Linked DNA regions of Rattus norvegicus. The protein of the gene in region 2 interacts with the protein of the main gene of each other region in a pairwise test. Links are inferred from orthologs where the notes say so. Each region holds a gene or a part of one and is shown on either strand. Other genes may lie near its edges.

What was found.
Region 1: the proteins of Nfkbid (region 2) and Ss18 interact in a two-hybrid assay, tested with the Homo sapiens proteins (2 studies listed by BioGRID and IntAct). The two-hybrid records come from large-scale screens. The link is inferred for Rattus norvegicus from reciprocal best matches to the Homo sapiens genes NFKBID and SS18.

The regions. Positions count from the first base shown.
Region 1 is NC_086036.1:6,057,872-6,061,681, forward strand, and holds part of Ss18 (protein SSXT), read right to left. Parts: intron 3,262-3,810; coding exon 3,157-3,261; intron 111-3,156; coding exon 18-110; intron 1-17. UniProt on the Homo sapiens protein: Appears to function synergistically with RBM14 as a transcriptional coactivator. Isoform 1 and isoform 2 function in nuclear receptor coactivation. Isoform 1 and isoform 2 function in general transcriptional coactivation.
Region 2 is NC_086019.1:94,807,134-94,811,574, reverse strand, and holds the start of Nfkbid (NF-kappa-B inhibitor delta), read right to left. Parts: upstream 3,010-4,441; 5' UTR 1,376-3,009; intron 1,227-1,375; 5' UTR 434-1,226; coding exon 428-433; intron 1-427. UniProt on the Homo sapiens protein: Regulates the expression of IL-2, IL-6, and other cytokines through regulation on NF-kappa-B activity. Functions in the regulation of inflammatory responses.

The DNA.
Region 1 (3,810 bases), on a different chromosome or scaffold from region 2:
TGAAGGTATGCAGATACCTCCTTCGCAGTAATGTGGTGAGGACTCCTCATAAGGCCTATCGTAGCCTTGTTCAGGATACGACGGTTGCTGATAACCGTAATCATTATGACCTACATCAATTCGACAAGAGACAGGAAGAAACGTTAATGGCCACTGAGTGAAAACCCTACAATTAAACTTTAAGATAAAACTGAAGAAAAAAAAAAGAAATGGAAATACATAAAAAAATAATTTTAATTGCATTAGCAAGTATTTACCAACGTGAATGCTTTCACCATGAGATTACAGCACACTATTTCAAGGCAAAGAGCAGTAGTCTTAGAAATTTACACTCATCCTCCTAACTGCGATAATCCTCACTGAGGGCAAAAAACCCTTGCATTCTATTTTAAAAAGAGAATGAGAACATTTAGGCCTCTCACGTGTAAGTAAATCGAGTCAAATCAGAATGAACACGGGATGCAAGTTATGACATCTTATCAAACCCCTGTTCTGAGGGTGGACATTTCCACAGCATACACTAAAAACAATATAAAATATATGAGGTCCAAAAAAAAAATCATTTTTTTTAAAGATAAGGTCTCTTACCCTGGGTTTCTGGAGCTCCCTCTGTAGACCAGGCTGGCCTCAGATTCACAGGGACCCAACTGACTGTCACCCAAGTAAGAATGTATCTTATAGTGCTGTCATTTTAAACATCTTTAGAAATATTTCTAGAGTATTCTGCATATCAACATTCATAAAATGTGTATTTCCTGAGTTGGAGAACACCTTAAGTTTTATGACTCAGTAACTTCCACCAGTAGACTAGACTAATCTTTTATTCTTTAATGTTTCACCTAAAAACAAAATGCAGACTAATGTCTTCAGTTGCTAAAACTTGGTACTAATGTTCCGAAAAGGCCTAGGAGGAAGGACTATAGTTCCACATAAATATTACATTCACCGCATTAGTCTGAAAGCCCCCAAGCCACTTTAAGAGTTGGCAATACATGACCGCCAGCTTACTAAGGCCAGTGGTCAGCTGAGATAGAAGTACCACCGGAATCCACTCACGTAGCTGCTGCCCACAGCAGCTCTCCTGTTCTCATGACAGGTCTGCAATGTGAGAGCAAGACCACATGGCCTACAAGGACCAAATCTTTGCTGCCTGGCCCTCTGCAGAAAATCTCAGCCAAGCACTCGTTCATGTACTTATGGGCAAGGTCATCTGGACCTGAGAGAAGATGCTCAATTGCCTGGGGAGTGCAATTGAGGGGAACACTCTGTCAAGACCTACTGTACTCACACCCGTGAAAACATTACTACTTAAATGAAGAACAAGCTAGTACACGTAATTATAGCTTTACGTTTTAACAGTTAGAAAAATAATGTGCCTATTTTTAACAAGAAGGTTTTAAAATAAGGCAAATTTCACATTTCTGAAAATGTTCAGGACCCGAAACCATCAAGTCCAACACAACTGCTTAAGTGCACTTTAAAGCTGACTTTAAAGGGTAATTTATTCTTAGATTACTTATGTTTACCACATAGATGTCACCTTTTAAATTTTTCTGTAAATGTACTATTATTAAAGTTTAAATTTAAGAAAAAAGCTTAATATATCCACAAAGAATTAAGGAGAGGAAAAGCACTGACATTCTGAATACCAATGGCAAGAAAACCTGAGATAAAAGCACACAGTTCTAACCAGAGTTGCACACATCATTAACAAACTTCTTGTGTGTAAAGCTGGTGACAGTCGGTGTTTAATGCAGATCCCCCTTTATGCTTCATGCACTGATGAGAAGCAGCAGATGAAATGCCACTTGAACACAGACCCCATCTTGTTGGTTTCCATCAGGTTCTAGCCAAGAGGTCCTAAAACTTCAGCCTGAAGTTTCTTTGCCATATAATTACATTAAAAATAACAAAAGAGGGGTTGGGGATTTAGCTCAGTGGTAGAGTGCTTGCCTAGCAACCGCAAGGCCCTGGGTTCGGTCCCTAGCTCCGAAAAAAAAGAAAAAAGAAAAAAAATAATAACAAAAGAGTTTACTTGATAAAATACTTTAGCAAAGCACTTCACTAAAAGACAAATTACCCCATGATATTTCTTTGTACCCACTAAAAAGAAATTATTTTACCAGTTCTACATGTTTAGATAATTTTTCTTCAACATTAAAATACAAAATTTTCAAACAAAAAAATGCCTAGTAAAAATCTACTTGTGCACTTAGATTATTTTCCATGTACTTTCTTAGTGTGTAGCATTCTTTAGTGGTAACTTCTTACAATTCATGTTCCCTTTTAAAGGAGGTGGGGGAGAAGCCACTAAATTAAAAATCCAAATGCCTTGGCTATTCAGCACGATTCAGTGCACCTTATCTATTGCTATATTGTGGACAAGCATTTCCTCAATAGCAAGCATATAAGGCACAATTACTTCCCAAGAATGGAACATAAATAAATGAAACAAGAACTACATTCTCTATAGTCTTACAGAGCTATATTCTTAATATAAGCAAAACAATGGGTGAACTTTATAGCAGATGAATTAAATCTCTCTAAAAATACCAAGGAAGAAGAAGAGGAGGAAGAGGAAGAAGAGGAGGAGGAGGAGGAGGAAGAGGAGGATGAAAAAGAGGAAGAGGAGGAAGAGGAGGAGGAAAAAGAGGAAGAGGAGGAAAAAGGGGAAGAGGAGGAAGAGGAGGAGGAAAAAGAGGAAGAGGAGGAAAAAGGGGAAGAGGAGGAAGAGGAGGAGGAGGACGAAAAAGAGGAAGAGGAGGAAGAGGAGGAGGAAAAAGAGGAAGAAGAGGAAAAAGAGGAGGAGGAGGAAGAGGAGGAGGAGGAGGAGGAAAAAGAGGAAGAAGAAACCTGTAGAGCATTTGCTTTAGGCTCAGATGAACAATCCTAAACATAAAAAGACCCTCTTTCCCACGAGAGACACTGGAGTGATGGAAATGTAGCTCCAGATAGCACCAACAGTGACCACACAAATATACCTTGAGTTAATTACAAACCAGTGTCCTTCTTGTCAGAGCTATACAATACCAAATGCTTCTACATGAAGAAACAAGTTGGTAGTTTCTTCGCCCCTCATTAAAAAGTTGTGAAATGCTTTCTACATTAATACTGGGCAGGGATAGAAAACGGGAAGGGTAACATTAGAGAGATTACCATCAGGGTAATATTGCTGGTTCATGCCTTCTGGAGGACCTTGTCCACCATGACTGTATTGGTCCCCATAATAGTCTTCCTGGCCTGAGTACTGCTGTGGTGGGCCTGAAAAACCACAACCAGTCAAGACATAAATCATTTGTTCTCTGCGTCATCCAAGGCGATCTTTCTAATCTGCTGTTGCGAGAGACTACTTCTGAGCAGGAGACTCCCACAGTGCTTGGGCACTATTCCCATGCACACACACACACACACACACACACACGCACACGCAGGTCCACACGTCACGGTTATCAAATCAGTAAGACCATACACATAATACCAAACAATACCAACTCAGAAAAGCAACCTCTGAAGCAGAGGCTGAAGCAGGTGGAAACTGATTTCTTTTTACTTGTTACATTAGTATTAAGGCATTTTGATATAAAATTGGCTTTGTTCTTTGTCATATACTTAGTAACTTCTAAAAAAGGGAGAGAGGGCATTTTCTGATGTAAATGAGTAAATTTGATAGAAAAGTTTCTGATGTGGTATTTCCCTAGAGAACACCAGACAAAAGGAAGCCATGTGCTGGGAAGCTCCTCTATGCCTCAGGACTTCCTCAGGGTTCCCTAAACCCTGCTACCTTGGTGGGTGGCAGGGGAGTGCAACAAA
Region 2 (4,441 bases):
CATCTGTAATGAGACCTGATGCCCTCTTCTGGTGTCTGAAGACAGCTACAGTGTACACAGTATATATAAATATAAGAAATAAAAAAATCTTTAAAAAAAAATCAGTCCCTGATATCTCAAAATACTGAGATTCCCTACCCCCCATCCCTCCCTCACAGAGATTGAACCTCGTGGCCTCACGCACGCTAGGAAAAAGCTGGACCACAGAGCAAAACTCCCAATAGTCTTTCTGTTTTCCACTTCTTCTTTTTAAAGGACGAGGTCTTATTCATGTGCCTAGGGCAACCTTGAACTCATTCTGTAGCCCAGGCAATCCTTCTACCTCTGCTTCCTGAAGAGCTGGGATGACAAGCCTGCACCACCAGTCTGGGCACCACGGGGAAATTTTTAGGGGCCCTTAAGCATCTGTCCCCACTCTATAGTTTACCTCCATTGCCAGGGGAAATGGGCCTGACCGGCCTGGGTCTGACACTGGGTAGAGATCAGGAGTCAGGAAGCCTTCAGAAGCAGAGTATGGGAAAGAGCCTTCTGCATACGGAGCATGGATGCTGGAGTCCCAGTCTGTGAAGCCTGAAGGGGGAGCCAGGTTGCCAGGTCCAGAATCCACAGTCTCTTGGAAGGCAGGGAAGTGAGTATGGCCTGAAACCGAGAGGGTGGGCAGGACCAGCTTGTTATTAGAGCCCAGAGACACAGCCAGGGATAGTGAACCTGGAGTCTCTTGAGGCACTGAGGCACTGAGGCACTGAGAGCTGAGTCCTCCAATCCTGGGACATCAACAAGCTGGGGTGCTTGGCCGCCTGGGTCTCAAGCAACTGGGATCTGGATTCCTGGAATCTCAAACCCTGAGTCCCTGAGGGCAACAGTCACAGACTACTGGGCTATTGAAAACCAATGTCAAAATCCAGGGGTTTCTGTTTGAAGACAGGTGTCTTAGATAGCTCTAGGTGGCCTGGAACTCGCTAGTTTAAAAAAAAAAAAAAGTGTGGCTTCAAACCCAATGGCAATCCTCTCCTCTCAACCTCCGGAGTACTGGAAATACAGACATGTGCAACAATGGCAGGCCAGCCATTAAAATTTCCCATATGTCTCAACAATAATGAGAGCTGCCTGTCTCCTCGGTCCCCAAAGTTCTGAGAGGTGGGTCGAGCTAAGTTTCTATTCTTACCTGCCTCTGACTCGCTCACAGATGGGGTCAGTGGCTGGACCAGAGGAGGGGAGAAGTGTCCCTGCAATGCAAAGAAAATGAATTTATATATCTGCAAGATTCTTCAGGTCCATCCCCCGCCACATGTAAAGCATCAGAGTCAGGACTACAACTCCCATCTCCCCCAGAGCACATGGCTTCATGTCCTATGCGGGATTTCCAGAGACTCACCGGTACCCCAGCAGCCTCTGGCTGCTGCTGTCGGCGCCTCTGTTCTTCCAGAAGCTTCTTTACGGTCTGTGTTGGGCAGTGACTGCGCTCAGGCCGACTCACTGTGTGTGGGAAGACAGAAGGAAGTCATCAGGAATATTTAAGTCACCCGAATGCACCCTCAGCGGCAGCGGTGGGTGGCTGGGAGTGGATGTGGGCGCGCGCCCTCCTTTCCCTCGAGCGCGGAAAAACTGGAGAACTACAAAGCCAATAGAAGATGTTGAGTGCAGGGCCCGCCTCCGCCATTTCCTTCCTTTTACTCCACGCTTTTCCTCTGCACCAACTTTCCACCACCGTAGTGGAAACTGAGGAAGTGGGGAGGCTAGCATTTCTCTGAAGCATCTATCTCCTCCGGAGACATCCCACTCCTCTGAAGCATCACCACATCCGTAAAAAATCCCAACCTAGGCTACCAGGCCTAACACTTGAAGAGGGGTGGGGTTTGCCAATCTCAACTTCCTGAAAAGGCATTTCCAGGTTCCCAATGTCTCTGTTTTAAACTAGAAGTAGAGGCACACCCCTGCAATCCAGCATTCTCGTGGCAGGCCAAGCTCATCTACATATCAGTGAGAGGCCAGCCTGGGCTACCTGAGACCTCGGTCTCAAAACAACAGCAAAATAATTTCTCTGTTCTAGAATCTGACATGTTGGGACTAGGCGCAAGCCTAGTGTCCTCAGCACAGTCTTGGACCATCACTCTTGCTTCATGCTCTCTGCCAGAATCAGTGGCAGAGTAGTTCCTCAGAAATCCAGATATCTGGTGTCGCAAACCTCCTGTCCCCACCTCGGCCGACTTGGGAATAGCAGGGACCCACCATCCCGCGATGCCCCTGTATCCCATAGGCGCGGCAGTCTCTCATCCAGAAACCCAGGAGTACAGACCCCCTCAGCCTCCTCTGGGACCTGCAAGTCCGGTTCCCTCCACCGGAGAAGAGCAAATCCCTAGCTCAGACTTCCCAGCTTTGACTCCAGCGCAAGAAGGGTTAAAGCCAGACGGGGACCGACTCGGAAACCCTCGAGAAAAGACGCCGCGCGCTGACGTCACGGCGCTCACGCAAGGGAATCTTCCACCTCCCAGTTCCGCTCCGCACGCGCACGCCGCAGGTGTCTGGCTCGGAGGCGGGGCACGCAGCGAAGCGCGGCGCCCGTGGAATCTCCGCTCACGGGGAATTCCTTTTCGGCCCAGGCACCCGGCACCGGTAGAGCGCTGGGAAATCCCAGGGCGGGGCTGGTCTCGACCAGAGTGGACCCCTGAGGTCCGCCGCCCGACCTTCAAGACCCAAGCCTGCGTCCATAACGGCAACTCGAAGGATGCAATGCAACCCCTCCTTGGGTGAAGGAGTCCGAGTCACTTCGTCCTCTTTCAGAATCCCCGGTATCAGGCTTCCTAGTCCTTGCACCCCAACCCCTAAGATCCCAGATACCTCTCTTAATGTCCAACACTCCCAGGACTCAGAAGTCCAGGATCCCAGCCTCTCCTCTTCAGCCAGCTCCCTTAAACGTCGGGAATCCCCAACTCTCAGGGCCCAGCTTTACGCTCCAGTCAACCCTCAAAGCATTCAGAAAGGCGCGTGCCTCGCTTTACCCCAAGGTTAATCCCTTACCTCGAGGATTCTTGGATGCAGATTGTGGGCCCCCAGGGCCGCGGCCTCGGCGCTGCGCCAGCCTCGCTGCTTGCCCCGCGGAGCCGCCGCCGGGTCCCCCGATCCAAAGCCAGGTCCCCCGCGAGTTTTTAAATTCTTCTTTTGGCCACGCCTGGTTCAAGGCGGAGCCCCGCCCACAGTTCTAGGAGTCCCGGGTGAAGCGGGAGAGCTTAGTCTCTGAATGGGAGGGGCTGACCTTGAAGAGTGTCATCGCCTAGTCTCCCTGGAAGTAGGTGCTTAAGGATCCTCCCTTTTTCTAGAGGGAGACATGGGGATCTGGAATTTTGAGTCTCTGACCAAGGAGATACTGGAGGCCTTGACTTGGCTGTGCACAAGCAGAGAAGTACTGTGGGGTCTTCCGGGAGAGGATGACCATGAACCTAGACCCCATGGCTTCTTGGAGAAGTCCTTAGGCAAGGGTCGTAGAGGTGCCTTAAACCTCTCTTTTCCACGTGGCTGTTTGCTTCTTTAGAGTTAACTTTCATTTATAAAGCTTTTTTCTCCCGCTTTGGTTTCAGTTTTGATTTGAGTGTGTGTGTGTGTGTGTGTGTGTGTGTGTGTGTGTGTGTGTGTGTGTGTGAAGGGCGAAGAGGGGGTTCGTGTAGCTCAGGTCAGCCTAGAACTCTAGGTAACTAAGGATAACCTTGAACTCCTGATTCTCTTGATTCCATTTCCCAAATGTTGGGTTACAGAGAATTGGCCACCATATCAACTACCAATATTGGCTTTTATTGTTTTGTTTTTCAGGTTTCCCCCGCCCCCCTTCAAAACAGGGTCTCACTATGTAGCCCTAGCTGTCCTGGAACTCACTATGTCGACCAGGCTGGGCTTGGAATCCACAGAAATCTACAGAAATGTCTCCCCAGTGATGGGATTAAAGGCATATGCCACATTGTCTGGTTCCAATATTTGCATTAAAAACATGTGTGTGCGAACTCCCCCCGGAGGTGGAAGAACATGTGCTCCAAAGCCCTCTGTAGATTTCAGCCTTTTTGTGAGGGTTATGGGGTTCTAACACACGTCAAGAACCTTTATCTGCCGAACAATCTTCCTTCCAACACTTTGTTTTTGAGACAGGGGCTTCCTACATGTAAGCAGCTGGGCTGGCCACGAACCTGCTAAATCAGCCAGGCTGGCCTTGAACTCACAGCCATTTTTCTCACTTGTCTCCCAAGTGCTGGACAATCATGTCTGACTTACTTATTCACCATTTAAGAAACCCTGTTAGCATAAAGGAGACACTTTCCTGAACACAGGGGATGGAGAAGTATGAGCCAAACAGGAATTCCCAGTTCGCTAGGGGATGGATAGTCTCAGTTCTCACTTGGTGACCTTCCTTGGCACTGAACTGTGATGACCAAATCAATCTCTCTCTCTCTCTCTC